Canis lupus familiaris: one gene and its partners. The protein of the gene in region 1 purifies or fractionates together with the protein of each later gene. This does not show direct contact. Links are inferred from orthologs where the notes say so. Each region holds a gene or a part of one and is shown in the gene's direction. Other genes may lie near its edges.

Region 1 (3,500 bases):
GGGGAAAAATCGCAGCGTATGGACAAGAAGGAACATGGGGAAGGATGAGAGTGTCCGCATCCTCCATGAGATCCAAATAAGTACTTCCATCCTTGATAGAAGAACAGGATATCATAGAAATGATAACAGATTTATAGAGAACAGATTAATAACGTTTCCTGGGAATTAAGAAGAAAAATAAGATAAAACTTCAAGAGAAGGCTTAGGTTTTAAGGTCATTTCAAGGAAATGTTCTAAAAACAAGAGGTGAGGAGAGTGAAAAGGTGAGAAGGTCTGAGAGTTAGTTCTGGAGGCCCAGTGTAGGAGGTATAGGAGTTTGAGGAAGAGAGAGCATATAGAAGTGAAGGAAGGAAGGAAATGAACAGAAGACCATGTCAGCCCAGAGGACGTGAACCTCTGGATTGAGGGGACTCCGCAGTGCCTTGGACAGTGACCAGAAAGATCCCTCACCAGAGCTCATTGTCCCGTCCCAGAACCCTCTAGAGACCGGGAGGCTCTGGAAAAGCTCTAGGTGGCAGAGCTCAAAGAGCCAGTGCTGGAGACTGTGGAACACCACCAGTGACTTCAGAAGTCTGAGTTGAAATGGTTGTCAACCTAGGATGCTATGCTCAACTGAAGCTGCCTCCTGTGAGGCCAGAACAAAGCTGCTCTCAGGTGTGCAGGGTCTTCATCATCTTACCTTGGCTTGAACCGTCCCCCCCCCCCCCCAACCGAAAGGAAGAAAAACCCAGAATGGAGAAGGCGCTGCAAAGCGGGACCCAGTACCTGAGCCAGGGTGGCTGGTGCCAGGCAGAGAGGAAGGGCTGTCACCGTGTAGCTGCTGTACCTCTGCCCTGGAGGACCTGCCAGTCTAGGGCAGGAGCCGGAGGTGGTGCTGAGGAGGTGGTCTCCGGGGATACGTGAGCTGCAGGGTGTCTAGTACTTAGCCCATGTGGCAGTTGTGGAAAGCTGTTGCACAATACAGGGCGAGTTAGCAAAATGAGAAGAGCAGGCATTGTTGATGCTATAAAAACAAAAGCCCCACAAGGAAAGAAGTGCACTGTCTGGGCAAGTAGAGAACCAGATCTATATAGTGGCGGTAAAACAAACAGTGAGTGTTGTTTTCACTAAAAGTTAAGTTTTTGAAAGGACGGGAAGGGGGAGGTGTGTGTAGATCTAGAACAAGAAGCAGTAAACGTGAGTCAAAGGAAAAGCAGTGTGGATTGAAAGCTGTCTGGGGAGCAGGTGGGCTGTGTGGTGGGTGCCAGGAATCTTGGCTAAAGCCTTCTGGAACGGTCTCTTAGCTGTGGGCCTGTTGTCCTTTGATAAGTGAGGCCATGTGTGGGCCTGCACTTCTGGCCTTGTGGGCTCCGCCAGGGCAGAGCAGGATGCCTGTGGTCACTGTGCATGTGTTTTGTGGCACCAGCCACCCCTCCCCCCCGCCCCAGCCAAGTGTTAGGCTTCGTATGGTCCTGGTGACGTGGCTGGGGGCTCTGGCCACGGGGGGTGTTTGGCTTCCTGTTCCTCGCTTGCTGTCTACGCTGGGGAAAATGGGCTTTTGCTGGGGTTCCTGGCTCCAGAGCTGACCGGGATGTTAGCAGAGATTAAGGTTCCATTAGGCTGAAAGTGGAGGAAGGTCTGGTGAGGTGGCTGAGTCTGTGGACATTTTCTAGGGGCCAGGTTTGGGGCCCGGGTATTGGGAGCCAGTAAGCCCCGGGGATCCTGAAGGCCCGAGGTGACCAGCCGTTTGCCTTGGGGCCAGAGCAGTGGCCCCGTGCCCAGGTCCCACACTGGCTGTGCGACTCTCGGGTCTGTGGCGGCGCCGCCGTCCCAAGCCCCAAGCGCATGCACTGTGGCCCTGGCCAGGAGGCCCTCGGGCCAGCTCCAGGTTGAGCTTCCCCCTTGGTGTCTGCAGGCATCGAAGTGGACATTGACGTGGAACACGGAGGGAAGCGAAGCCGCCTCACCCCCGTCTCGCCAGGTGGCTCCAGCACGGAGGACAGGGGAAGCTCTCAGCCCAGCAGCTGCTCTTCCGACCCCAACAAACCCGATGTGGATCGGGACCCGGAGGGCACCGCACAGGCGCTAGCTGAGCAAATGGACAAGGTTGCCCTGGAGTCGGGGCCGCCCGAGGCGAGTACCCGCCCGGGCCCGGGGCTGTCGCTGTGTACTGTTTCTCTCTGGACCCCGGGCATAGCTGACCCAAGCATGTCCTGGTCGGAGTGCCGTTGGTAGCGCTGATGTCATTCTGTGACCCCACTGCTAGAACTTTCCTCCTGTGGCCTTCACGCTTGCTGCTCCCAGGAACGGAGGCTGGGGGCAGGCGAGCTGGTGCTTGTGTGCTCATGGGTGGTTCTGTTCCAGGAACAGATGGAGTCTGATAACTGCTCAGGAGGAGACGAAGACTGGACTCATTTGTCTTCAAAGGAAGTGGACCCGTCCACAGGTGAACTGCAGTCTCTACAGATGCCTGAATCCGAAGGGCCCGGCTCCCTCGGCTCTTCTCAGGAAGGGCCCACAGGACTGAAGGAGGCTGCTCTGTACCCGCATCTGCCACCAGGCAAGTGATTTCAGGCAGTGTCGGTTTTTTTTTTTCTCCAGACCATCCTGTTCCCTCCTTCTAGCATATGGAACTGGAATCTCGCTGGCAGTGGGACTTAGAAGCACAGTGGCCCAGGAGCAGGGGTCATAGCTGGGGTCCTCCACCCCGTGGAGGAGGTGGTGAGGCCACATGGGGACTGTGGCTTCGAGGGCACATGCTGAAGAGAAGCAGCGGATGCCATGCTCTGGTTGTCACGGTCACAAGATGACAGTGTGTCAGAATAACACAGGTGAAAACCCACCCTTTGGGTTCTGGGTGTTCATCTTGTCTGCACCAGGGCAGGGGGCAGCAAGCTGTCACTTACGGGCCAGCAATTATTATTTTTTTTTTCATTTTTATAATGTTTGGAAAAGATCAGGATGTAAAAATTGTATGAGGTGAAAATTTCAGCATCCAAAATAGAAGTCATGCTGAAGCACAGCCCCACTCCTGTTTACAAGCTGCCTGGCTGTTCTGTTGTGGTGCAGAGGCGAGCACACCCCACAGAGCAGCTTAGCGGATTCACCCTCAGCCCTTTATGGGAAGAGCTTGTCAGGCTCTGTGTGTGTGTGTGTGTGTGTGTGTGTGTGTGTGTACTACGAGGGTCAGCGAGCCTATGGAGGGCTGGCTTGTGGCACTGCGGCGTGCTCACTGGCTGGCCGTGCTGTACCCCGAGCTGCTTCTCATGGCTCTGTCCTCTCTCTGGCAGAGGCTGACCCCCGGCTGATCGAGTCGCTCTCCCAGATGCTGTCCATGGGCTTCTCTGATGAAGGTGGCTGGCTCACCAGGCTCCTGCAGACCAAGAACTACGATATTGGGGCGGCCCTGGACACCATCCAGTATTCAAAGCATCCGCTGCCGTTGTGACAGCTTTCACTCTCTGTTCTGTCCCCCTTCTTGACTCCTAGTTGTGATGAGATAGTGTAGAACAGCCGGGCCT
Region 2 (3,174 bases), on another chromosome or scaffold:
TATTCACAATAGCCAAGATATGGAAGCTGCCCAAGTATCCATCGATAAATGAATGGATAAAGCAGATACGGTGTACATATACAATGGAATATTACTCAGCCATGAAAAAGAATGAAATCTTGCCATTTTACAACAACATAGATAGACTTAGAGGGTATTAGGTTAAATGAAATAAGTCCAAGAAAGATAAATACCATATGATTGCACTCATAGGTGGGATCAAAAAAACAAAACAAAAGAGCAAACAAGAAAGCAAGTAGACTCATAAATACAGAGAACAAACTGAAGGTTGGCAGCAGGGAAATGTGTGGGGGGATGGGCAAAATAGGTGAAGGGAATTGGGAGGTACAAACTCCAGTTACAAAATCATGGGCATGAAAAGTACAGTGGAGAGAGTATAGTCAATAATGTTGTGATAACAGATGGCGACTGTACTTACCATGGTGAGCACTGTGTAATGTATAGAACCGTCGAGTCACTGTGTTGTGCTGCTGAAACAGCATTGTGTGTCAACTCTACTTCAGTAATAAAAAAGGGGGTGAGGTATCCACTGAAATGCTAGAAGAGGCAAGATACTTGTTTTAAACATAGCTCATTCTAAAAATTTTCACTTGCAGTTACATTAAAAAGCATGTCTGCCTATATGGCCAGAAGTCAGTGTGGAGACGCACAGCTAAGAGTTGGCTCTGGCACAGATGTGCCCAGCGAAATTCTCACAGTTAACTATTTTGGGCATCTTGCTTATTCTCAGAAAAATACATCAGTCTGGGCAGAAACCACTAGGCTGTCATGGATTTAAAAAAAAAAAAAAAAAAAAAGATCACAACTTGTCTGAAACAGGAGAGGGACCACCACACCCTGAAGAGAGACTGTCCACACAGTGTGAGGAAGGGGACATGTGGCAGGTATACCTCCATGGCTGCATCACCAAGATTCTGAGTCACGCAGGACTCTGCTTTGAGCTAAACTAGCTCAGCAGTCAGTGAGGTGTTTGGTATTTTCATTTTTGAAAACTATATCGATTTTCTTTTTGTTGCCCTAAGAATACTATCCACAGAAAAGTTCAGTGAGTGGTGACAGACGCACAGTCCAAGGTGATGAATGGAAATGGTTTGGTCACACACATGATCAGAATGTTTTAATTTTGTAACAGTGCGTGGTTGACTTTGAAAATCCCTTTTGCACCGTTAAAGCCATTCCCCAGTTTTCTGTACCCTCAGTACTAGCTACCAACAACTGCCTGTGACTCTCAGCCAGTCATTAAAAATATCTTTGTGTCCTTGCTTCTCCTCAGCAGCCCATGACTCATCGAGAATCTTCACCTGTTCCCCAACCTGAAAACAAACCCGAAAGCAAGCCAGGCCCAGTTGGACCAGATCTCCTTCCTGGACACATCCCGATTCAGGTGATCCGCAAGGAGGCAGATTCCCAGCCTGTTTCCCAGAAGCCCCCACCCCCATCTGAGAGGGTGGAAGTAAAGGTTCCGGCTGCTGCTCCAGCTCCTTGTCCTCCCAGCTTCACCCCTCCTGCTGTCCCCTCGTCCCCCAAGAACGTGGCTGCTGAAGAGGGGGCAGCCCCTGGCCCTGCCCCTGCAGAAGCCGCACCTCCCAAACCAGGAGAAGCTGAGGCACCCCCAAAACACCCAGGTGTGTTGAAAGTGGAAGCCATCCTGCAGAATGTGCAAGGGCTGGAGCAGGCTGTGGACAACTTTGAAGGCAAGAAGACCGACAAAAAGTACCTGATGATAGAAGAGTATTTGACCAAAGAGCTGCTGGCCCTGGATTCGGTAGACCCCGAAGGACGAGCTGATGTTCGTCAGGCCAGGAGAGATGGTGTCAGGAAGGTTCAGACCATCCTGGAAAAACTTGAACAGAAAGCGATAGACGTCCCGGGTCAAGTCCAGGTTTATGAACTCCAGCCTCGCTCCCTTGAAACCGACCAGCCACTGCAAGAGATCATGGAGATGGGTTCCATGGCAACAGACAAGAATAAGAAAAGTGCTGGAAATGAAGAAGATCCCAAAACTGAAACCCAGCAGCCAGAAGCCAAAGAAGCAGCAACTGCAAACCCCGGCAGCACGACGGACACAGCTGGAAACCCAGCCGCACCATAGTCTTCTCCGCTCAACACAGCAGACCCGGGCACTGGGAACTGCTGGTGTGCTTTAGGGAATTTTAAGTTGCATGCATTTCAGGGACTTTAAATCAGTTTGTTTTTACTCTTCGTAGGCGCTTGGTACACAGTAACTTGGGTGGAGGCCAAACACACTAATTAAAGGGCTAAAAGGAAAATGATGCTTTTCTTCTGTATTCTTATTCTGTATAAATAAAGCAGTTGCTTGTTTCAGAAGCTAACCCCATTGCTTGTTGTTGGGGCCCTTTCTGTGCACGGGCACCACATGTTAGCCATGGTTGTAAGCTGTCTTCGTGTAGCTCTGGCCCGAAGGAGGTTTCTGGCTGGTAGATGTGGTGTTAATTTCCCATCGCACAAATATGGAATCCATTTTTCAGAAATGTTGCCCTTTGAATGGGATGATTTTCTTCATCTCATAGCTAAAATAGCTAACTTTAGATAGAATAAAATGTGCAAGGAGCCCTAGGAATATCTGTATGTTGGATGACTTTAATGTTACGTTAAGAGAAAAAAGAAAATAAAGTAATAATATAACTCAAAATGGTTTTGTGTGTGTGTGTGTGTGTGTGTGTGATCTCTAAAGTTTTGAGGAAGGGCAGCATCAAGATTATGTCTCATTTGGCTTCAGTGACAGTCAATGGCAGACGCATTTACAGGCCAGCTCTGGGATCTAGCACCTCTCTCTTGGCCCAGCTCATGAGAGAATGAGTGTCACATTTCATCCTCAGATTGCAGCTGTTACCTGGGAAGACCCAGGGCTGTGCACCCAGGTGATGGGAAGGTACCTGTTAGGATTGGCCCAGCCCAGGGGCCACTCTGGCAGCATCTCTGCTCACCTGGGGTCTTGGGCTGCCATCAGCCCTCCGCAAGGGCTGGGATGGGTCAGATGCGCACACAGGAAAACCAGTTGCTCGTGTTGCCCAAGGCTGACCAAAGTGTTCTGCGCACAGTCCAGGTCACTGGGGTTGAGAATGTGTTCTGTGAGAGTCTTTATCTGACGCTTCTCTGAGTCATCAAACCAGGCTGGGTTTATCATCCCAG
Region 3 (3,500 bases), on another chromosome or scaffold:
TGTGACCTTGGACAAGTCATTTAATTTCCTTGAGCCTCTGTTTTTCATCTGTTAAATAGGACAGTCATGGTATCGTTTGGGTTGAAGGTAAACTGGACAAGAGAGCTTGGTAAATTCATGTCATTGATTTGCTGGCACAAGCCAGTGAGCCGCAGAACCCCCTGTGTAGGGGGGTGGGCCTATGTTCTGTCTACCTTTGGACATTGGCTGATGAACACATTCTGTATCTCTAATAGCACACGTTTGAAGAAGCAGAGAAAGGGTTTGATGAGACATTGGCCAAGGAGAAGGGCATGAATCGGGATGATCGCATCCATGGAGCCTTGCTGATCCTCAACGAGTTGGTCCGAATCAGCAGCATGGAGGGAGAGGTGAGAAGCCATGCCAGAAGGGAGTCTGGCGTCCACATGCCGTTCTGTGAACAAGACAGGCGAGATCCTTGTCCTTACAGAGGATGTTTTGTAAGGGAAACAAGCAATAAGCAAGTAAACAGGGTCACTTCAGAAAGTCCTATGAAGTAATGAGATGGAGGGCAGCAGGGGGAGGGCGTGGCCTTCCTGTCTGGGTGGTGCCATTGGCGCTGAGACCCGCATGACGTGGAGGGGTGAGCCTTGCAGTGGGCAGGGAGGTTGTGTTCTGGGTGAGGCTCTGTGGTGGGAGAGAGTTTGATAAGTTCAGGGAACAGAAAGAAGGGGAATGTGGTCAGTGCAGGAGAGCAGGGGAGAGGGGAGGGGACACATTCAGAGGCCTCTCGGGTTCGTGGTGAACACTGGCTTTGATTCTCCTTGCAAACATTGGAGGTGTGTACACAGGGCAGTGCTGTGGGGGCCTCCATTTTTAATAATCATTGACGGCTTGTGGGGCAAAGCTTGCATCGTGGCAGGTAGGAAGCAGGAGACTAGTTAAGGGGGTATGGTTAAGAGTGTAAGCATTTTTGTTAGGGAAAAAACATGGGGAGGGATCAGGGAGGGCCTGGCGAGCAGGGCAGCGCTGGCTCTGAGTGAGCAAGACAGTGAAGCAAAGTGGGCTGGAAGCATGCTGGGCCACCGTGCAGCGCCCCGTGGGGGCCTCAGGCCACAGTTGGCTCTGGGGGAGGCCCGCCCAGCATTCCTCATGCGTGCTGTCATTGGCTAGAGCCGACCGCGGCAGGCGTGGCTGTGGCACAAACATGGTGACATCGTCAGAGTCACAGTGGGGCCCTTGGTCAGCTGCAGTCCTTGTGGTTGGGGCCCATTCTCCCGGCTGCCCTGGGAGGCTACTGAAGTAGTCTGGGCGGGTGATGGTGGTGGCCTCCACTGGTGTTGGCAGTGCGGACGCAGAGTAGATTCAGCGTGAGTCCACTGGCTTCAGGATGGATATGTTTGGTGAAGAGCTCCATCGTGTCTTCCTGCATGGGAGTGAGTTGGTGTGAAATTTTGCCGCAGGGCTTCTTGCTTTAATACACCCAGTGGGGGGGGGGGGGGCATTTGGTAACGGCAGTGCTGTAAATACGGGGCAGCACCTGCTGCTCTATCTGTAGAACACGGGGGTCTAGCTTTGAATCCCCACCCCTCTCAATACCGTGGACTTGGGTACATTATTTTATTTTTTTATGCATCATATTTCCTTGCTTTTGACGGGGATCTCATCCACCTTACTAGGCTCCTGTGAGGTTTCTAAATACAATTGACCCTTGATGAACACAGGTTTGAACTGCACGGGTGCATGTACATGTGGGTTTTTTTTTTTTTTTTCAGTAAATATATTGGTAAATTTTTTGGAGGTCCGTGACAATTTGAAAACTCACAGATGACCCATGTAGCCTAGAAATACTGAAAATGTTAAAAAGTTCGATATGTCATGAATGCATAAAATACAAGTAGATAGTAGGCTGTTACATTATTTACTACCACAAAATATATACAAATCTATTACTGAAATTAAAAATTTACCCAAACTTATGCACACCAGCATTTACAGACTATACATGGCGCCGTTTGCAGTCGAGAGAAATGTGAGCAAATAGGAAGGTACAACATTAAATCCTAACTGCCTAAGATTAATTGTGGCGCACGCTGTCCCACTGTAGTAATTCCGCAGCCACCTTCTGTTCCGTCGCGGTGAGCTCGTGTTGCGAGAATCTGGTTAAACCGCTGTGCACGGCTGATCTGTGTGCACAGTTGGCCCCTCCAGTAAATTGCGCATTGCAGTAAAAAGGGCTCTGTCGCACTTCTCATGTATTTTTCATCGTGTTTAGTGCAGTACCGTAGACCTTGAATAATACTGTGGAACCCGTAACGAGTGCCATTAGTGAAGTTCTCCCAAGGAGCAGAGTCATGACATTATAAGAAGAAATTGAATGGCTTGATAGGCACTGCAGATTGAGCTCTGCAGCTGTGGCTGCCCACCATTTCAAGATAAATGAATCCAGCATAAGGACCCTTGCAAAAAAAGAAAAGGGAAATCCGTGAAGCTGTTGCTTCAGCTTTGCCAACAGGCACAAAAATCTTGTACTTTTTGAGAAATCTGTTTTATCTCATGTTGAACAGGCAGCTTTTATGTGGGTACAGGATTGCTGTAAGAAAGGCATACTTGAACCCCCTAATACGATTCTAGAAAAAGCGAGACCATTATATGACAACTTAGAGCAAAAGGAAGGCGAGGTATTGAAAGCTAGAGTACTGAATGCCAGCAGAAGATGGTTTGATAAGTTTGGAAAGAGGTTCGACTTAAAAAAAAGTCAAGATAACAGGAGAAGCCGCTTCTGCTGACCCAGGTGCCATAAAGAAGATCACTGAGGGGAAATGATATGTGCCTGAACGGGCTTTAATGCAGACGAAAATGCTCCACTCTGGAAAAGAAAATGCCACAAAGGACATTTATTAGGAGGCAAAACAGGCACCGGGATTTGAGGCAGGCAGGGGCAGGCTCATTCTCTCACTGTGCTACACAGTGGAGCAGATGATCAGGACGGCCCTGATCTAGAAAGCTGCTAACCCTCGAGCTTTGAGGGAAGCTACAAGCACCACAAAAATTCTCTTTCAGGATTTGTTCCCTTAACGCTTTGTCTCAATCCAAGCACCACCTTGCCCATAAGGGATCGCCTTTTAAAGTTCTTTTGATACTGGACAATGTTGGTATTGGACAATGCCCCTGGCCGCCCTGAAGCTCATGAGTTTAACGCCAAAGTCCTCGAAGTGGTCTACCTGCCCCCAAACCCAGCATCTCTAACTCAGCCTCTAGGTCTGGGTCGTGACCTTTAAGGCTCATTACACATGGTACTGTATGAAAAGGATTGTCAACACTGTGGAAGAGGACCCTGATGGAAAGTGGAAGGATTACACCGCTGAAAATGCCATCGTTGTTGTAGAAAAAGCCAAATGCCTTCAAGCCTGAAACACGAAATTCCTGCTGGAGAAAACTGGCCAGATATCGCGCATGACTTCACAGGACTTAACGGCAGATCCAGTCAAGGAAACCGTGAAAAGGATTGGAAGAAAGTGCATGTGGCAAAAAAGGTG
Region 4 (4,051 bases), on another chromosome or scaffold:
CTATCTGCACAGAGAAACGGACCCGCTTCCAGTGCTGCCCCCTGGTCGTGGACTCTCATCCCTCCTGCTCTAGGCCCCATGCTGGCCCGAAGAGCTGACCTCCTCTCCCTCACCACGCTTGCTCTATGTACACGGGCCATCATCACACTGTGGTCCTGCAGCCGCCACACGTGCCTGGAAACACGGTCCGGGTGCTGCTTGGTCCTCTGGCTCCTCTGGGGCAAAGCAAGGCATCCCTCCAGGCTGGCATTCTTGCCTGGCACCCACTGGGCGCTCCGTAAGTGCTCACAGACTAAGTGAGTCCATGAGTCTAGGAGCAGGGTTTGTGTCTGCCCCAAGGAATTGAACTTAGGATCTCGGAGAGATGTCCACACTCCCATGTCCGCTGTGGTATTATTCAAAAAGGTCAGATACGGAGACAAGCTAAGTGTCCACAAGTGGAAGAAAGGGTGAAGACGGTAGGTACACATGTCTACACCACATGCCATGGGGATTATTCGGCCACGGGGAAAAAGGACATGCTGCCATTTGCAACAACGTGGGTGGAGCTGGAGGACGTGAAGTGTGTAATATCACTGTACGTAGACTCCAAGTTCGTCGGAGTCACAGAGACAGAGAGTGCAGGGTCAGGGGCCCGGGGCTGGGAGGGGGCAGTGGGAGGTATCGGTTGGGGGCACGCAGGCTGTGACGCCAGAGGACTAAGTCCTGGAGATGGGCATATGGCGCTGTGCCCACAGCTGGTCATTCTCTGCTGTGCTTGGAATACTTGCCAAAGGGCAGGTCTTGTATTAAGGGTTCTCACCATACACACAGAACAGCATTAAAACAGCAACAATAATAAAGGGGCGGGAGGAGACTTTGGGAGGTGATGAGCATGGCCTCGGCAGAGGTGAGGTTCTCACAGGCGTATCCTCAATTCAGAAAAGCAGTTGAGGACGTTGACAGGTGGTGCACAGAGCCTTTGCCGGCCAGCAGACTGTGCCTGATGGCTGGAGGGCCAGGCATGCTCCTGATGCTCTACTTGCCAGGCCCGGGGGGTCCCCTGCCCCACTGTGCTCACTACCTTCACAGCCCTCTCATGGCCGCTGGGACGCCCACGGGGACACCCCGCCTCAGGGGCCCCCGAGAGCACGGCAGACGTCTCTGGCTATGGCCGAGATAAGCACGCTGCTCACTGGTGTGGAAAATCCACAATATGAGTAACTGTTAGTCTCCAACCTGGTGATGCAAGCTTGTTCACTCCATGCTGAGGCCACATCCTTCCTGCCCTGCTGGGCTGTGACCACTATAAATTCATCAAGTTTCCTCTTGGGCTGTTTCTGAGGCTGGTGTCCGGGTGAGTCCAACTCTGTGGAGCTGCATGGCTGCAAGAGTGTGGGGAGAATGAGGAGGGGCCATGGAGAGCCGGGGGTGTCCTGTTTAGCACACTAGGGATTCTCCGGCCAGCTTCCAAGCCTGCCCTTCCACAATTCTGGAAAACCCTTTTTTGTTTTTCATTACTGGGTCCTAGGCTTGTGTGCAAGTGTGTGCGTAGGGACTGGGGAGTGGGGGGGGGGGCAGGTAGGGACAGCCACCACAGCTCACACCCACCCTTGGGGCGGATTTGCCCAGCATCCCCCCAGGGAGTGGATGGAGGGGATGTGGTGGGGATGTGGACGTCCTAGACACCGCAGGACACAGAAGGCAAAGGTCAGGGTAGAACGCATGGGGCTTAGAGGCTGGGGGGCACAGAGGAGCCGTAGAGTCCTGATGTGGATGGCAAGGCCGACCGGGGTCCTGGGATGGTCCACAAAACAGGTGGGTCTACCTGGACATGCCCAGCCCACCGCCAAACGCATGAGGAACGGATTTGGTGGGTGCGTGGAGCCAGGAGTGCAGGGCAAGATGAAGGCACAGGGGAGGCAAGCATGCTTCAGGCATTGTGCACACACACTCTCTCCTGCAGTCCCACCCTTCCTCTCCCTCCTGTTAGCGACCCTCATTCATGGCCTTGGGTTGATGTTGTGCTTTCCCAAACTCAGTCATGTGGCGGGATGGATCCCAAACAAAGCCAACATGCTTATCAGCCCAAATCTTGGAGACGCAGAAGAGCAAGGACACAGCAGCTGAACTTTGCTCTATGTGGAACTCTGCATCCCTGTAGAAAAGCTGAGACCCTGAGCTCTAAAAAATGGTGGGCTGTGCGTGGAAAATGCTGGGAAAGTGGTTTGTTTTTGTTTTTTGCCTTTTAACCACCTATTTTATTGTCTTTGTTCTTTTCTATGTTTTTCTGAGATACCTCGTTAAGTGATGGAAGAAAGAATCACATGCTTTTTCTTGCTATGAAAATTAGTATTTAGGGACATGAACTCAGAAATCAGTGCCCCTGACCTAAATCCTGGCTTTGAACCCTTTTTTTTTTCTGCGAAACCCTGGGCAAGTCACTTAGTTTCTGCTAAGATTCAGTTCCTCTTCTGTAAAATGGGCCTAAGCATATGTGCACCTCCTAGGGCTTCGGGAGAGTTAGATGCACAGCACATGAGTGCGGCACCTAGGCTGCGAGAGGCTCTCAGTCCCCGTGGGCTCTAATGATGATCACAATTGTGAATGTTGAAGGACACCTCAGGGAGATGTATGTGGTCATCACCTCCCCCTACGCACCTCGAGCGTCACCCACTCATCGCTATCGATCAATAGATGGATGGATGTGCAATTGGAGACCTCCCCTGTCCAGGCGCGTCTGTCTTCTTCCTCCGTCCAGCCATGTGCTGCTCTGTTACTACCGTACTTACTCATTTCCGGGGTCAAAACAGAAATAGGGAACCAGAGCCTTTCCAATGGAAGGAACTTAAAAGCCATATTTTCCATTCTGTCATTTTATAGATGAAGAAACAGAAGCTGAGGAAGACTTTGCCCCAGGCCATTCCTCAGTAACTAGTGAGAACAAAGTTCTCCCTGTGGTGCACTGTGGTGGCTTAAGGCTGCAGGTTGGGCTCACAGTATTATCGACATGGTTCCCTGTGCGGGTTTAACCTCTGTTTCTCTCCAGAGGGACACTGTTCTTCCATGGCTCAGGACAGACTCCTGAGTTGAGCCAACAGGAAAACGTTCTGGTGAGTATTTGGGTCATTTTTCAAAACCTCATTATGGTTCAATTCTCTATTTTTTCTCCTTATGTTCTGGGTTTTTCGTGGGTTCATTCTCTTTCAAGAGGGCAGACTTTTAGGAAGATTCTGCTTACCCATGTGCTGTTTTCATCATCCAGCTTCCTGGAGTGGACCTATGCCCAAGGGCCCTGAGCCAAGCTGCAGAGGAGCATGGCAAGCGTCCGCTGCAAGCTGGCTCGTTACCTGGAGGACCTGGAAGATGCAGACTTTAAGAAATTCAAGATGCACTTACAAGACTACCCTTCTCAGAAAGGGTTCAGCCCTCTCCCTCGGAGTCAGACAGAGAAAGCTGACCACATGGATCTGGCTACTCTGATGATCGACTTCAATGGTGAGGAGAAGGCATGGGCCATGGCAGTGTGGATTTTTGCTGCAATCAACAGAAGAGACCTTTATGAGAAAGCTAAGAGGGATGAGCTGGAGTGGGGTGAGTGGAAGATAGACAGCATTTTAAAAAATCGTGATAAGATACACGTGACATACAATTACCGTCTTAGCCATTTCAAAGCTATGGTTCAGCAGCATTAAACACATTCACATTGCGCAATCAATCTCCACAACTTTTCTTTGTCTTGCAAAACTCTGTACCCATTAGACAACAATTCCTGTCCCCCTCCCCTAAGCACCTGGAACTACCACCTTCTATCCTTAAGAATTTGGCTACTCTTAGTACGGCTTATGAACAGCTTCATAAAGTATTTGTCTGTTTGTGGCTAGCTTACTTTATGAAGCATAATGTCCTCAAGCCTCATCCATGTGGTCACATACAACATTATTTCATTCTTTTTCAAGGTGGGATAATATTCCAGGGTATGTGTATGCCAAATTTTGTTCATCTATTCACCCATTAGTGGACATTTGGATTGCTGTTAGCTTTTGATTATTTTGAACAATGCTGCTAAGAA
Region 5 (3,500 bases), on another chromosome or scaffold:
TTTGTCAGTGCTTCCACCAGCCCGTGGGTCTCGGCAGTGTATCCTTCCCTGGGTCTGGGCCAGAGGCGGTAGCTCCTTCTCAAGCAGTCCTACAGGCCCTGCTCTCAGCATCTGGGTTGATAGTGTCTGTTAACGTTTTGAAGCCTAACCTTTAAAGAAACCCAGCTGTCAAAATGACATTTACCTTAAACCTTGACAGAGTGCAATGTTGGTAAGGGGATAGAAAAGGGAGCGTTAAAAAAAAAAAAGAAAAAGAAAAGGGAGTGTTTACCACACTGACTGGGACCGCCTGGAGAGGCGGGGTGGGAGGGATGCTGAGGGCAGCAGCCCATCCCTGTAGACCTCCTCCCACCCACTCGCGGGTTCCATGCAGCTGCATATGTGGCCAGTGCTGTTTCTCATTATTCCTTGTCCATTGTGCCTGTGTCATCCTCTCGGGTACAAGGCTTAAGTAAAGATCCAGTTCCCACCCCAAAAATGCTGGCTGCCAAAAGGGGATGTTCTCCTTTGGCAGCCTTCCCCCAAGACAGACCAGAGCCTCTGAGCAGACGGCTGTCCTGGTGCTGGTGGCAGGCCTCGCTCAGCATTGCCTGGGCCGGGTGGCCATGGCTCTGCCCTCACTCTGCGGGAGCAGGGCTAGTGGGAGCCTCAGCGGCCAGCGCTGTGAAGGGAGCCAGGTCAGGTAAGTACTGTGGAGTGGAGCACCCTCGCTCTGGGGCTCCCCAGGCTGCCTTGCCCGCTTCCTCTGTCTCACTGGGCAGAGCCGGGCTTCCAGCCAGAGTGGCAGCGTCCATTTGCCTGTTCCTGGTGTGGCTGGCAGGAGCCAAAGTGGGAGGCAGCTGCTGCTGCTACACAGTCCAGGTCCCTGGCGTCTGCTCCAGCCGCCTCTCAGGGCCCCCAGGGCCCATCTGTAGACCTGTGTTGAAGGACAGCCTGGTGAGGACTGGGAGGCATGCCTAGGAGACTGCTCTTCCCTCACTTGAGCCTTGCTCCCTTAACTCCTTTGCCAGCCTTCCCCACGTTATCAGCAGGATGGGCAAGCTGGAACAAGTGGACGTTAACCTCTTCTGCCTGGTGGCCACGGACTTTTACAGACACCAGATAGAGGAGGAGCTGGACCGCCGGGCCTTCCAGTCTGTGTTCGAGGTGGTCGCGGCACCAGGAAACCCGTATCATCGATTGCTGACTTGTTTGCGGAATGTCCACAAAGTCACCATGTGCTGAACGCCCACACAGGGCAGCAGCACAGAGCCGGGGGCCCTGCCTGCGCTGGCGTGGCTCTGCAAAGGCCTCCCCTCGAGTCGCAACAAGGCCAGGCAGGCAGTGTCGGCTCTGCCACGTGGCAGAGGAGCTCTTTGGCAGTGAGGCTGCGTGCAAGGGAACATGTGCAGTACCGTGGGGTTGAGCCTGAGTCCTCGCAGAGAGCAGGAGCAGTTGTGTCACTAACCCTTTGTGCTGCAGCTCCTCCAAAATGCCAGCTAACCAGGTGTTCTTTTCCTCTTAGCACCCAGCCTGCTCGTGGTCATCGGGTTACAGCTGCTCTTGTGTCCTAGAGCCTCTCTGCTGTCCCGCCGGCAGAAGGTGGCGCCAGTGGGCTTTCAGGAGCATTCCCCGGGGCTCTGGCCTGGGGGTCAGGACCACACCCAGTCCTGGAGGGGACCGCTGCGGTGTGTGCAGGTGGGGGGGGGGGCTGGGAACGTGACACCCAGCGCCATACTTCCTTTCTCTGATTTCTTCTCAGGATTTAAAGTTTAATTATATCAGTAAAGAGATTAATTTTAAGGTAACTTTCTACGCCCGTGTAAAGTATGTGCATTACCAAGTCTGTGCCGCATGTGACAGAGCCTGCGGAAGCTGCCCCAGGCCGGTCCTTCCCTGGCAGCCCCTGCTCTCTGCCCTGCAGCTTCCCTGCCCGCCCCCTTCGCCCACACACACACACACACACACACACACACACACACACCTACACACCTACCTGTCTTCCTTATTAACACGCTGGCGATGTTCTGTGGTACCCTCCACCCTTTCTCACGAGTTCACTTCTGTTTAGAGATGTTTAGAATTTAGAGATGTTTCATGTTAAGGTGTCTGCGTCAGGAACTCATACAGCCACTCTGAGGACTGGAGGGTGCCTGCCCCCCTGTCCCATACACAGCCCGCCTGCTGCTCCCTCACCCTTCCACACTGATGGCTCTGTGGGCTCCATTCCCCAGTGAAGGACAGCTGTGCTGGCACCTAGCCAACAAGGCCAGCTCTCCTGGTTACAGGCAGTCTGTCGTGTCCAATGACGCCAGCCTGGATGTTGTCCGGTCCCGTCCCAAGCGGGGTCGGGCTGGGAGCTAACTGACCGCTGTGAAACCTGCTCTCCATGTGGCCTCTCCTGTGTATTAGGGCCCAGGCGTGTAGTGGAATTATATTTGTACCACTCTTGGTCAAGAGCAAAGCTCGGCATTTGGCAACTGTTAGAGAAGGACCCCAGCACCCACTTGGCCCCCTTTGCAGCTCAAAATGTAAAGTGGGCCTCCTTTCAGGAGGATGCAGATCTGTACCCACTGGATACGTGATGGGGCTCAGAAGGGGTAGTAAGGAGAAGGGCTGGGCAGTGACTGGCCGGCCCACGTCCCCTCAGAGCTGCTGCTTTTACCCCAGGCCCAGGCCGCTGGACCAACTTTCTGTTTCCAGCCCCAAAGTAGCCAAATCATCCAGTGCAGATGAGGCATGGACATTTGGGTTGACCTCTGCTGGGCAGAGCTCATGGTGTGCCTACGAGTGGGGCCATGCTTGCTGTCTGCCTGTGAGGCTGGTGGGTACTCTGCTGTCTGGCCCCAGAGGCAGGCCGGTTGCATGATGACTGCCATGTGGGTCAGTTTGGTCCTGAGTTCAAATGCAGGCAGTGGTTTGGGTATTTCATGTGGTGAGTGGAGATCATTTTGAAGCCCTTTTCCAGAGCCAGAGGAGGAAGCGGAGGAGGAGGAGCCTTGGTACATGGTTAATTACCCTTACATCTGGCTGGGTATGGGCCTGATATCCCACCACAATACACAGCCAGCTGTGGGGCACACACCAAACTGCCTGCTGACCCCCTGCCCCAGAACTGCCATCCTCTTCCTACCCTCTCCTGATACAGCAGTTTGGGAATTTCTAGGGTGCAGGGTTTTCCCACCAGCCCCCACAGAGGCCCCACCAAGCAAGGGCATGAGCAATAGAAATGAGTCCCGCTTTTGAGCTGGATGGAAGGGAATCTTAAGAAGGAAATCTCCCATGTCCCCCACCTCTGCTGGGCTCCCATCTCTCCCTGCCACCTCCTAGAAACCGCCTGTCTCTCACCCCATCACCTCAGCGGCTCCAAGACAAGAACATCACAGGCCAGGCTGCATGCTGTTCCTGGTGAGGGGTTTACATTTGTAGGAAGTAACACTGTGAATGTAAGGTTTGGAACCATCCCCCTTAGGATCCATATCACTGGGCTCACCTGGAAGCGTCATTGTCTTCCCTTGTTT
Region 6 (3,500 bases), on another chromosome or scaffold:
AATCACAATCAGTGGGGCTCCAGAATATAGGAAGGGGGAGCTTACAGAGGGCATTTTGTTAGGAAGATTAGTGTTAAAGTGGTATGGACACAGCAAACACGCTGAAGGCACTGGAGTAGCTTTTTGAAGAGAAACAGTACTGAAGGTAATCGTGGAGGGAGGAAGAAGTGCCCCTTTGGCCCCACCGGCACTGATTGTAGTTTATTTTTCACAGTTGTTCTGAACTTCTCCTGCATATATTACTTCATTGTGCTCAAAGGTACATTCAGAACTAGAGTTTTGCTTGATGACTTGTTTTACCCTTTATTAGTTATACAGAATCTATTCACAGCAAATAACCTGACAGCTTTTTTTTTTTTTTTCTCAGAGATCCTCTGTCATTGCTAGTTTAAGTTGAGGAACTATTTGCTTATCACAGACATTCTCGAGGCAGTAGGAGACTTCATACTCTCAGTCTATAACTATTTTATCCTGCAGAAATGGTTTCTTCCAACTTTTGTCGTCATTTCTGGCCATGAACATCATTTTCTTAAAGTAGTACATAAGAGCTAGTAGTCTTATTTTTTAATGTAGTAGATGAACTCATTTTGCCTTAGTTTCATTTATTGGAGGTTCTGGTCTTCTGCTGGTTGATAACAGTTTCTTAGATTCTTTTTTTTCCTGCTCAAATTTAGGGGAAGATGCATCCCTGCCTATTACCAGTGGAGGAAGCTACCAGGTATTGGTGAACAATGTGTTTTATTTCACACAACGTGTGGTGGACAAACTTTGGCAAGGCATGTTCAACAAAGAATCTAAACTTCTTATAGATTTTATAATTCAACTAATTGCACAGGTAATCTATTGTCACTATTAGTTTTAGAGTACATATTTTCTTATTGAAAAACTTTTCCTAATGTGTCAAAATTATTGGAAATAAATGTAACTAATAAGATAATGTTAACATTTAATACAAACAAAGCTCAGCTTGTTGAAAGTGAGTAAAAACCATAGACTTCTAACCCTTCCCCTCCTTACCCATAGGGTGGTACCAGCGTGTCCCTGTAAAGTTGCCTAGTTCTCTTAAGCTCTGGGCTCTCACTGGCTTCCCCACTGGTATTGCTCTTTGCTACCCAAATACCTGGGTAACTTTCTTATGGTTTAAATATGGTTTTAAGTTAATACAATTTGATGACTTGGTTTTTTTGTTTGTTTTTACAGTATGCTACATTTGTATGTAAAGGTTTACAGAGCACAAAGAGTTGATATGAAAGGAATATTTTCTTCTTATAATTAAATCTTCACAGAGTTCATTGTAGTTCTTTGAAGGTGTCATTTTAGTGAGCGAGTGGGTGTGTGTGTGTGTGTGTGTGTGTGGTACTTTTGACTAGGAATGTTGGCCTGGTTTGCCACAAGTGATTAATCTTATTCAACACATAGCGTAGAAACTAGAAAATACTGTTACCACGTGTTATTAGCATATGGTGCATAGGTTCTTTCGTGTCATCTAAGAATTTTTTAAGAGATAAATTTGTGTTTAAGCCAAAGAAAAGTTTACAAGTGAGGAAATCAATCTAGAATGTCAAAGGTTTTTTTACTAACATTTTAGATTTGGTTGTTTGTTTGTTTTTCTCAGTAATTGTGAATAGAGATCATTCACCCTAACAAAACTTTTGTTGCAGGAGATTCTCCTTAGATTACACTTCCATATGTACTCAGGCAGGCTGCTCTGCCTACAGGAGTTTTAGCAGCTCTCCTCAATGGGGCATGTGGTTTTCATCTCATTAAATTATACTTATGTGTCTCTTGGGTTCTGAACCTCATAATAGCAAGAGCTTTTTGGTTTTTAACTTAGCACCTTGTATTGAGCATGGCACCTGGTATGTAATAAAGCTAATATTTATATGTGAATGATAAGCAGACCATTTGTTTCTATTTTACTAAATAAAGTATCTTTCTTACCTTTAGTCAAAAAGAAGATCACAGGGATTGTCACTTGATGCAGTTTATCACTGCCTCAATAGGACCATCTTGTACCAATTCTCACGGGCACACAAAACCGTTCCACAGCAAGTAGCTCTCCTAGATTCGCTCAGGGTACTGACTGTAAACAGGAACTTGATCCTGGGACCTGGGAACCATGACCAAGAATTCATTAGCTGTCTGGCTCACTGCCTTATTAATCTACATGTTGGAAGGTAACTTTTTCACATTCAGTTTGCCACCGTGAATTTGTCATTCCACCAAAACTCTGTCCTACTTTTTTGATAGTAACATTTTTTTCCTTTTAATCTCAGTTTTAAAACTTCATGGAAAATATAAACACAAGGGTAACATTTTTGCAATAAAAGAATGAGTATTTTTTCTGTAATTTTCCATGTCTTTAAATTGGTCATTAATCACCTTAAGTCATGTATGTAATTTTTTTTAAAAAGTTTACTTTTAAAATAAACAAAGTATACAATGTTGGAGGTTAAGAGGGATAAAAAGGAAAGAATAATGAATAAATGCAGTGGTATATGTTAAATGGGCGTAATTAGTATTTTTCCTTGATTCTTTGACAGATACTTATTTAATGTCTGGACATTGAATTAGGGACTGGGATAAAATGTGAGCCAGAAAGACCTCATGGCAGGGTCTTGGAACATGCAGTCTAGGAGGGAAAATAGACAACTAAGCCAGACCAGGCAAAGTGTGCTAAGTGCGCTAAGTGCTCTGCTGGAAGCATGGCTCTTTGGGTGCATGGAACAGGTGCTCCTACCTGGAAAGAGACACCTGCTGAGTTACAACTTGAATGTGTTTGACAAGGAGGTTAACTCTCCAAAAAGGATGGGAAAGTGATGTAGGAAGAAAGAGCCATCTATGTGATTGCCTTGGGGGAGGAAAGCATATGGCACTTTCGGGAAACTGCAAATTTGTCACTGCTCCTGGAGCAAAGGGTGATGGGAGAGAGACTGAGGGGAGGTGGTGCATAGGCATATGAGGAAAATGTTCTTAGGAACTTTGTAATTTTTAGGTAAAAATATTAATCATGATCAAAAAACACCTTAAATATTAAGATGCTCATCTTGATGCTGTTGTTTAGTTTAATTACATTTAGTCAAGTGGATTTGTGAGATCATTCCTTTAAAATGGCATTTTCATGATAAAGTAGTAGTTCTGTTTTGTGCACCTGCCAAATATCTGTCTGCCAATTATAGAACTTTGTGATAGAGCCAGCATTTACTTGTGTCTGGAGAGTTATACTTAGTCATTATGGTTTTCAGCTATAATCATTTCCTTCGTATAGTTTAAACTGACTGGAATTTTTCAGCAATGTGGATGGGTTTGGACTGGAAGCAGAAGCCCGCATGACTACATGGCACATTATGATCCCCTCTGACATTGAACCAGATGGTGGTTACAGCCAAGATATTAGTGAAGGTAGTTTGTTTTCTTCCTTTTTTATTCCCCATTCTCCCCATTTCCAATTTTTTTTTTAAGAGAGAATGAGTGTATGAGCAGAGAAAGGCAGATGGAGA
Region 7 (2,753 bases), on another chromosome or scaffold:
GTTAGCATAGAATTATCATATGGGACCTAGCAGTTCTGCGTACAGGTGTATATCCAAGAGAATTTAGAGCAAGGATTCAAAAAGATATTTGTGCACCCATGTTCATAACAGCACTAATAATAACAGCTAGATGGTAGAAACAACCCAAGCGTTCATCGGCTGGTAAATGAATACCCAAAATGTGGTGTAAACAAACAATGGAATAGTATTCAGCCATGGATAATATTGGATGAACCTTGAGGATGTTATGCTGAGTGAAATAAGCCAGTCACTAAAGGACAAATACTCTGTAATTCCACTTATCTGAGGTCCCTAGCGTAGTCCCGTTCATAGAGACAGAAAGTGGATGGGGGCTTGGGAGGGGCAGGCAGGGGAATGGGGAGTTCGTGTCAGAGGGCACGGAATTTCCACTGAGGAAGATGACCAAGTTCTGGAGACAGATCGTGGCGATGGTTTCAGAACAACGTGAACGTACTTAATGCTACTGAACCTTACTTTATTTTTTATTTTTAAAGATTTTATTTATTTATTCATGAGAGACACACAGAGAGAGGCAGAGACGCAGGCAGAGGGAGAAGCAGGCTCCATGCAGGGAGCCCGATGCGGGCCTCGATCCCGGCACTCCGGAATCGTGCCCTGGTCCGAAGGCAGACGCTCGACCACCGAGCCACCCAGGTGCCCCTGAAACATACTTTAAAATAGTGAAAAGGGTGAATTTTATGTATATTTTACCCCCAGGATAAAAATACAGGTATTTTGCCCACCTTCTATGTTAAAAAGTCAACTTCCCTTCCTCTTGCAGACGAAACCTGGATTGGCATTTACACAGTCAAGGATTGTTACCCCGTCCAGGAAACCTTCACCAGAAATTACAGTGTGCTGCTGTCCACGCGGTTCTTCGACATCCAGCTGGGCATTAAAGACCCCTCCGTGTTCACCCCGCCCAGCACCTGCCAGACGGCCCAGCCGGAGCCGATGAGCGAGAACTGCTCCTGGCAGTAGGCCCGTGGGCGCCCCCACGGGGTTCGGGCTTTCGAGAAGTGACCACCTTGGCTCGAGAGAAGGATCGTGATGGGAGGAAGATAAACCGTGATCCGGGGTTCTTTGTATATATGATCCTGGCTTCTCAAGCGATGTTGACGAAGGGGATGGACAGCGGTGGGAATGCGACTGGAAGAGACGGCAGACCCGGGGATGCGCTGTCTGCGCTGGCAGGTGGATCTGGGAGCGGGGGCACACGTGAGCTGGGGGGGGCAGGGTGGAGGGTTTCATTACCTGAGTTGCCGAGAATTGCTGCATTGCTGCCACGTAGTGATAATAAAATGCAGGACGATTTTGCTCCCGTTTTATGATAAATTTTTGAGTTCTCTGCAGACAGTGGCCTCTATCTTGCCTGCATCAGGGTGGCGGCCGCTCCCCTGCCCTGCTTCCTGCTCCCTTGACCCGTGACCAAGCGATTCCTTAAAAACCCCTTCCAGCTTTGTGGCATGACCCGATTGATAAAAATCTGGGGAGGAGATGAAAGGCTCTGACACAAAGCAATTACACAAGAGGGTTTGAAAATCCTCACGTGTGTATCTGGGTAAGCGTGGGCCACGTGTGCTTCCTTTTGTCTACGCAAGAGTATTGATGGATGTGCTGAATCATCCTATATTTGTCAGGAGACCTCGAAAGACAGCTAGTGTTCTAAAAACAGCGTTGAACTGGGGGTCAGGGGACTGATGTCTTCAGAATCCGGGCCTGCAATGCCTTTGTACTTGAACTCCTCCCAGTAACTACATGCACTCTGCTTGCCCTCGTGGGGTTCCTCGCGGGGGCCCTGTTTCCGCAGCCTCTTTGCGCCACTTCTGCTCATCCTTCCCGGGTCAGCTCACGCTTGACCTTCAGAGAGCTGCTGCTGGCCGGGTTGGGTGCGCCCTGTAGCTTCTCGCCTGCTTCCTGGGCAGCATCGCCCACCAGCCTGGCTGTGAGCTCCTTGATACGGGTCACCACGTTCTGTACTTCTGTACTTTTTCTCTGCCCAGCACCAAGTAAGTGCCTGGCACATGGTCAGTGCCCTAAGCATGTGTAGAGTGGAGAATGCCAGCCTGTCTGGTCACTGGATTCCTCATCTATTCAAGGGTTGGGTTTGCTGACCTCTTGGGAATAAAATGTATTATTTTGGGTTCTTCTCCTACTGTGTTTCATCTGGCTATGACGCTGAAAACAGTCTGTATTACTCCTGGTTTATTTCAATAAACAAGTTTAATTGCATTTCTAAGTGTTCTTTGATACTTTCACTTTTGTCCCATAGGTGAGTTATCTTGGTAATTCGGGCGTTAAAACTCCTCTCTGATGAATAAAGTGCTTCGGGTGATCTAAGCCATATTCATTATCCCTCTCTCGAAGGCTTGCTCTTCTGTTCAAAGCCCAGTTGCCTGGGTCTGGAAGCCTCTGAGGTGTTCTTGGTCCATTTTTCTCCATCAGTCCTCATAGACAATCAATGTCCCGAGTCTGGTCAGAGTGGCCCCTGTCCGTCCCCTCAGCCGCCATCTGGGTCTGGGCTCTTCCCATGGCTGGCCTTTGCAAGAACTTCATAGCTTCTCTCTTGCCCTGGTCTTTTCTCCTCAAAGCCAACCTCTGCGCGGCCAGTCCCAGGCCAGTACTGAGCCCATTACCTCTAGGGCCCATGCCCGTTCTTGGAGTCTCAGAGCAGAGGGGAGCCCAGGCAAGGCTGGCATCTGGAATGCACCGATGGGTGGGGACTTTCATAG

Evidence for each region.
Region 2: the proteins of SQSTM1 (region 1) and BAG3 purify together in Homo sapiens (affinity purification with western blotting; 3 studies listed by BioGRID and IntAct, with this or other methods). This does not show direct contact. The link is inferred for Canis lupus familiaris from reciprocal best matches to the Homo sapiens genes SQSTM1 and BAG3.
Region 3: the proteins of SQSTM1 (region 1) and MTOR purify together in Homo sapiens (affinity purification with western blotting; 4 studies listed by BioGRID, with this or other methods). This does not show direct contact. The link is inferred for Canis lupus familiaris from reciprocal best matches to the Homo sapiens genes SQSTM1 and MTOR.
Region 4: the proteins of SQSTM1 (region 1) and NLRP3 purify together in Homo sapiens (affinity purification with western blotting; 3 studies listed by BioGRID). This does not show direct contact. The link is inferred for Canis lupus familiaris from reciprocal best matches to the Homo sapiens genes SQSTM1 and NLRP3.
Region 5: the proteins of SQSTM1 (region 1) and HTT purify together in Homo sapiens (affinity purification with western blotting; 4 studies listed by BioGRID and IntAct, with this or other methods). This does not show direct contact. The link is inferred for Canis lupus familiaris from reciprocal best matches to the Homo sapiens genes SQSTM1 and HTT.
Region 6: the proteins of SQSTM1 (region 1) and WDFY3 purify together in Homo sapiens (affinity purification with western blotting; 4 studies listed by BioGRID and IntAct, with this or other methods). This does not show direct contact. The link is inferred for Canis lupus familiaris from reciprocal best matches to the Homo sapiens genes SQSTM1 and WDFY3.
Region 7: the proteins of SQSTM1 (region 1) and EPDR1 purify together in Homo sapiens (affinity purification with mass spectrometry; 3 studies listed by BioGRID and IntAct, with this or other methods). This does not show direct contact. The link is inferred for Canis lupus familiaris from reciprocal best matches to the Homo sapiens genes SQSTM1 and EPDR1.

What each region holds. Positions count from the first base shown.
Region 1 is NC_049232.1:2,125,545-2,129,044, reverse strand, and holds part of SQSTM1 (sequestosome-1), read left to right. Parts: intron 1-1,894; coding exon 1,895-2,112; intron 2,113-2,343; coding exon 2,344-2,539; intron 2,540-3,269; coding exon 3,270-3,427; 3' UTR 3,428-3,500. UniProt on the Homo sapiens protein: Molecular adapter required for selective macroautophagy (aggrephagy) by acting as a bridge between polyubiquitinated proteins and autophagosomes.
Region 2 is NC_049249.1:30,112,388-30,115,561, forward strand, and holds the end of BAG3 (BAG family molecular chaperone regulator 3), read left to right. Parts: intron 1-439; exon of another isoform or gene 440-558; intron 559-1,294; coding exon 1,295-2,113; 3' UTR 2,114-2,674; downstream 2,675-3,174. UniProt on the Homo sapiens protein: Co-chaperone and adapter protein that connects different classes of molecular chaperones including heat shock proteins 70 (HSP70s), e.g. HSPA1A/HSP70 or HSPA8/HSC70, and small heat shock proteins (sHSPs), e.g. HSPB8.
Region 3 is NC_049223.1:84,300,174-84,303,673, forward strand, and holds part of MTOR (serine/threonine-protein kinase mTOR), read left to right. Parts: intron 1-236; coding exon 237-371; intron 372-3,500. UniProt on the Homo sapiens protein: Serine/threonine protein kinase which is a central regulator of cellular metabolism, growth and survival in response to hormones, growth factors, nutrients, energy and stress signals.
Region 4 is NC_049229.1:335,775-339,825, forward strand, and holds the start of NLRP3 (NACHT, LRR and PYD domains-containing protein 3), read left to right. Parts: upstream 1-1,251; 5' UTR 1,252-1,336; intron 1,337-2,862; 5' UTR 2,863-3,092; intron 3,093-3,244; 5' UTR 3,245-3,296; coding exon 3,297-3,573; intron 3,574-4,051. UniProt on the Homo sapiens protein: Sensor component of the NLRP3 inflammasome, which mediates inflammasome activation in response to defects in membrane integrity, leading to secretion of inflammatory cytokines IL1B and IL18 and pyroptosis.
Region 5 is NC_049224.1:61,609,889-61,613,388, reverse strand, and holds part of HTT (huntingtin), read left to right. Parts: coding exon 1-38; intron 39-54; exon of another isoform or gene 55-682; intron 683-1,010; coding exon 1,011-1,224; 3' UTR 1,225-3,500.
Region 6 is NC_049253.1:31,496,260-31,499,759, forward strand, and holds part of WDFY3 (WD repeat and FYVE domain-containing protein 3), read left to right. Parts: intron 1-674; coding exon 675-835; intron 836-1,947; coding exon 1,948-2,177; intron 2,178-3,292; coding exon 3,293-3,402; intron 3,403-3,500. UniProt on the Homo sapiens protein: Required for selective macroautophagy (aggrephagy). Acts as an adapter protein by linking specific proteins destined for degradation to the core autophagic machinery members, such as the ATG5-ATG12-ATG16L E3-like ligase, SQSTM1 and LC3.
Region 7 is NC_049239.1:12,223,248-12,226,000, reverse strand, and holds the end of EPDR1 (mammalian ependymin-related protein 1), read left to right. Parts: intron 1-802; coding exon 803-1,002; 3' UTR 1,003-2,253; downstream 2,254-2,753. UniProt on the Homo sapiens protein: Binds anionic lipids and gangliosides at acidic pH.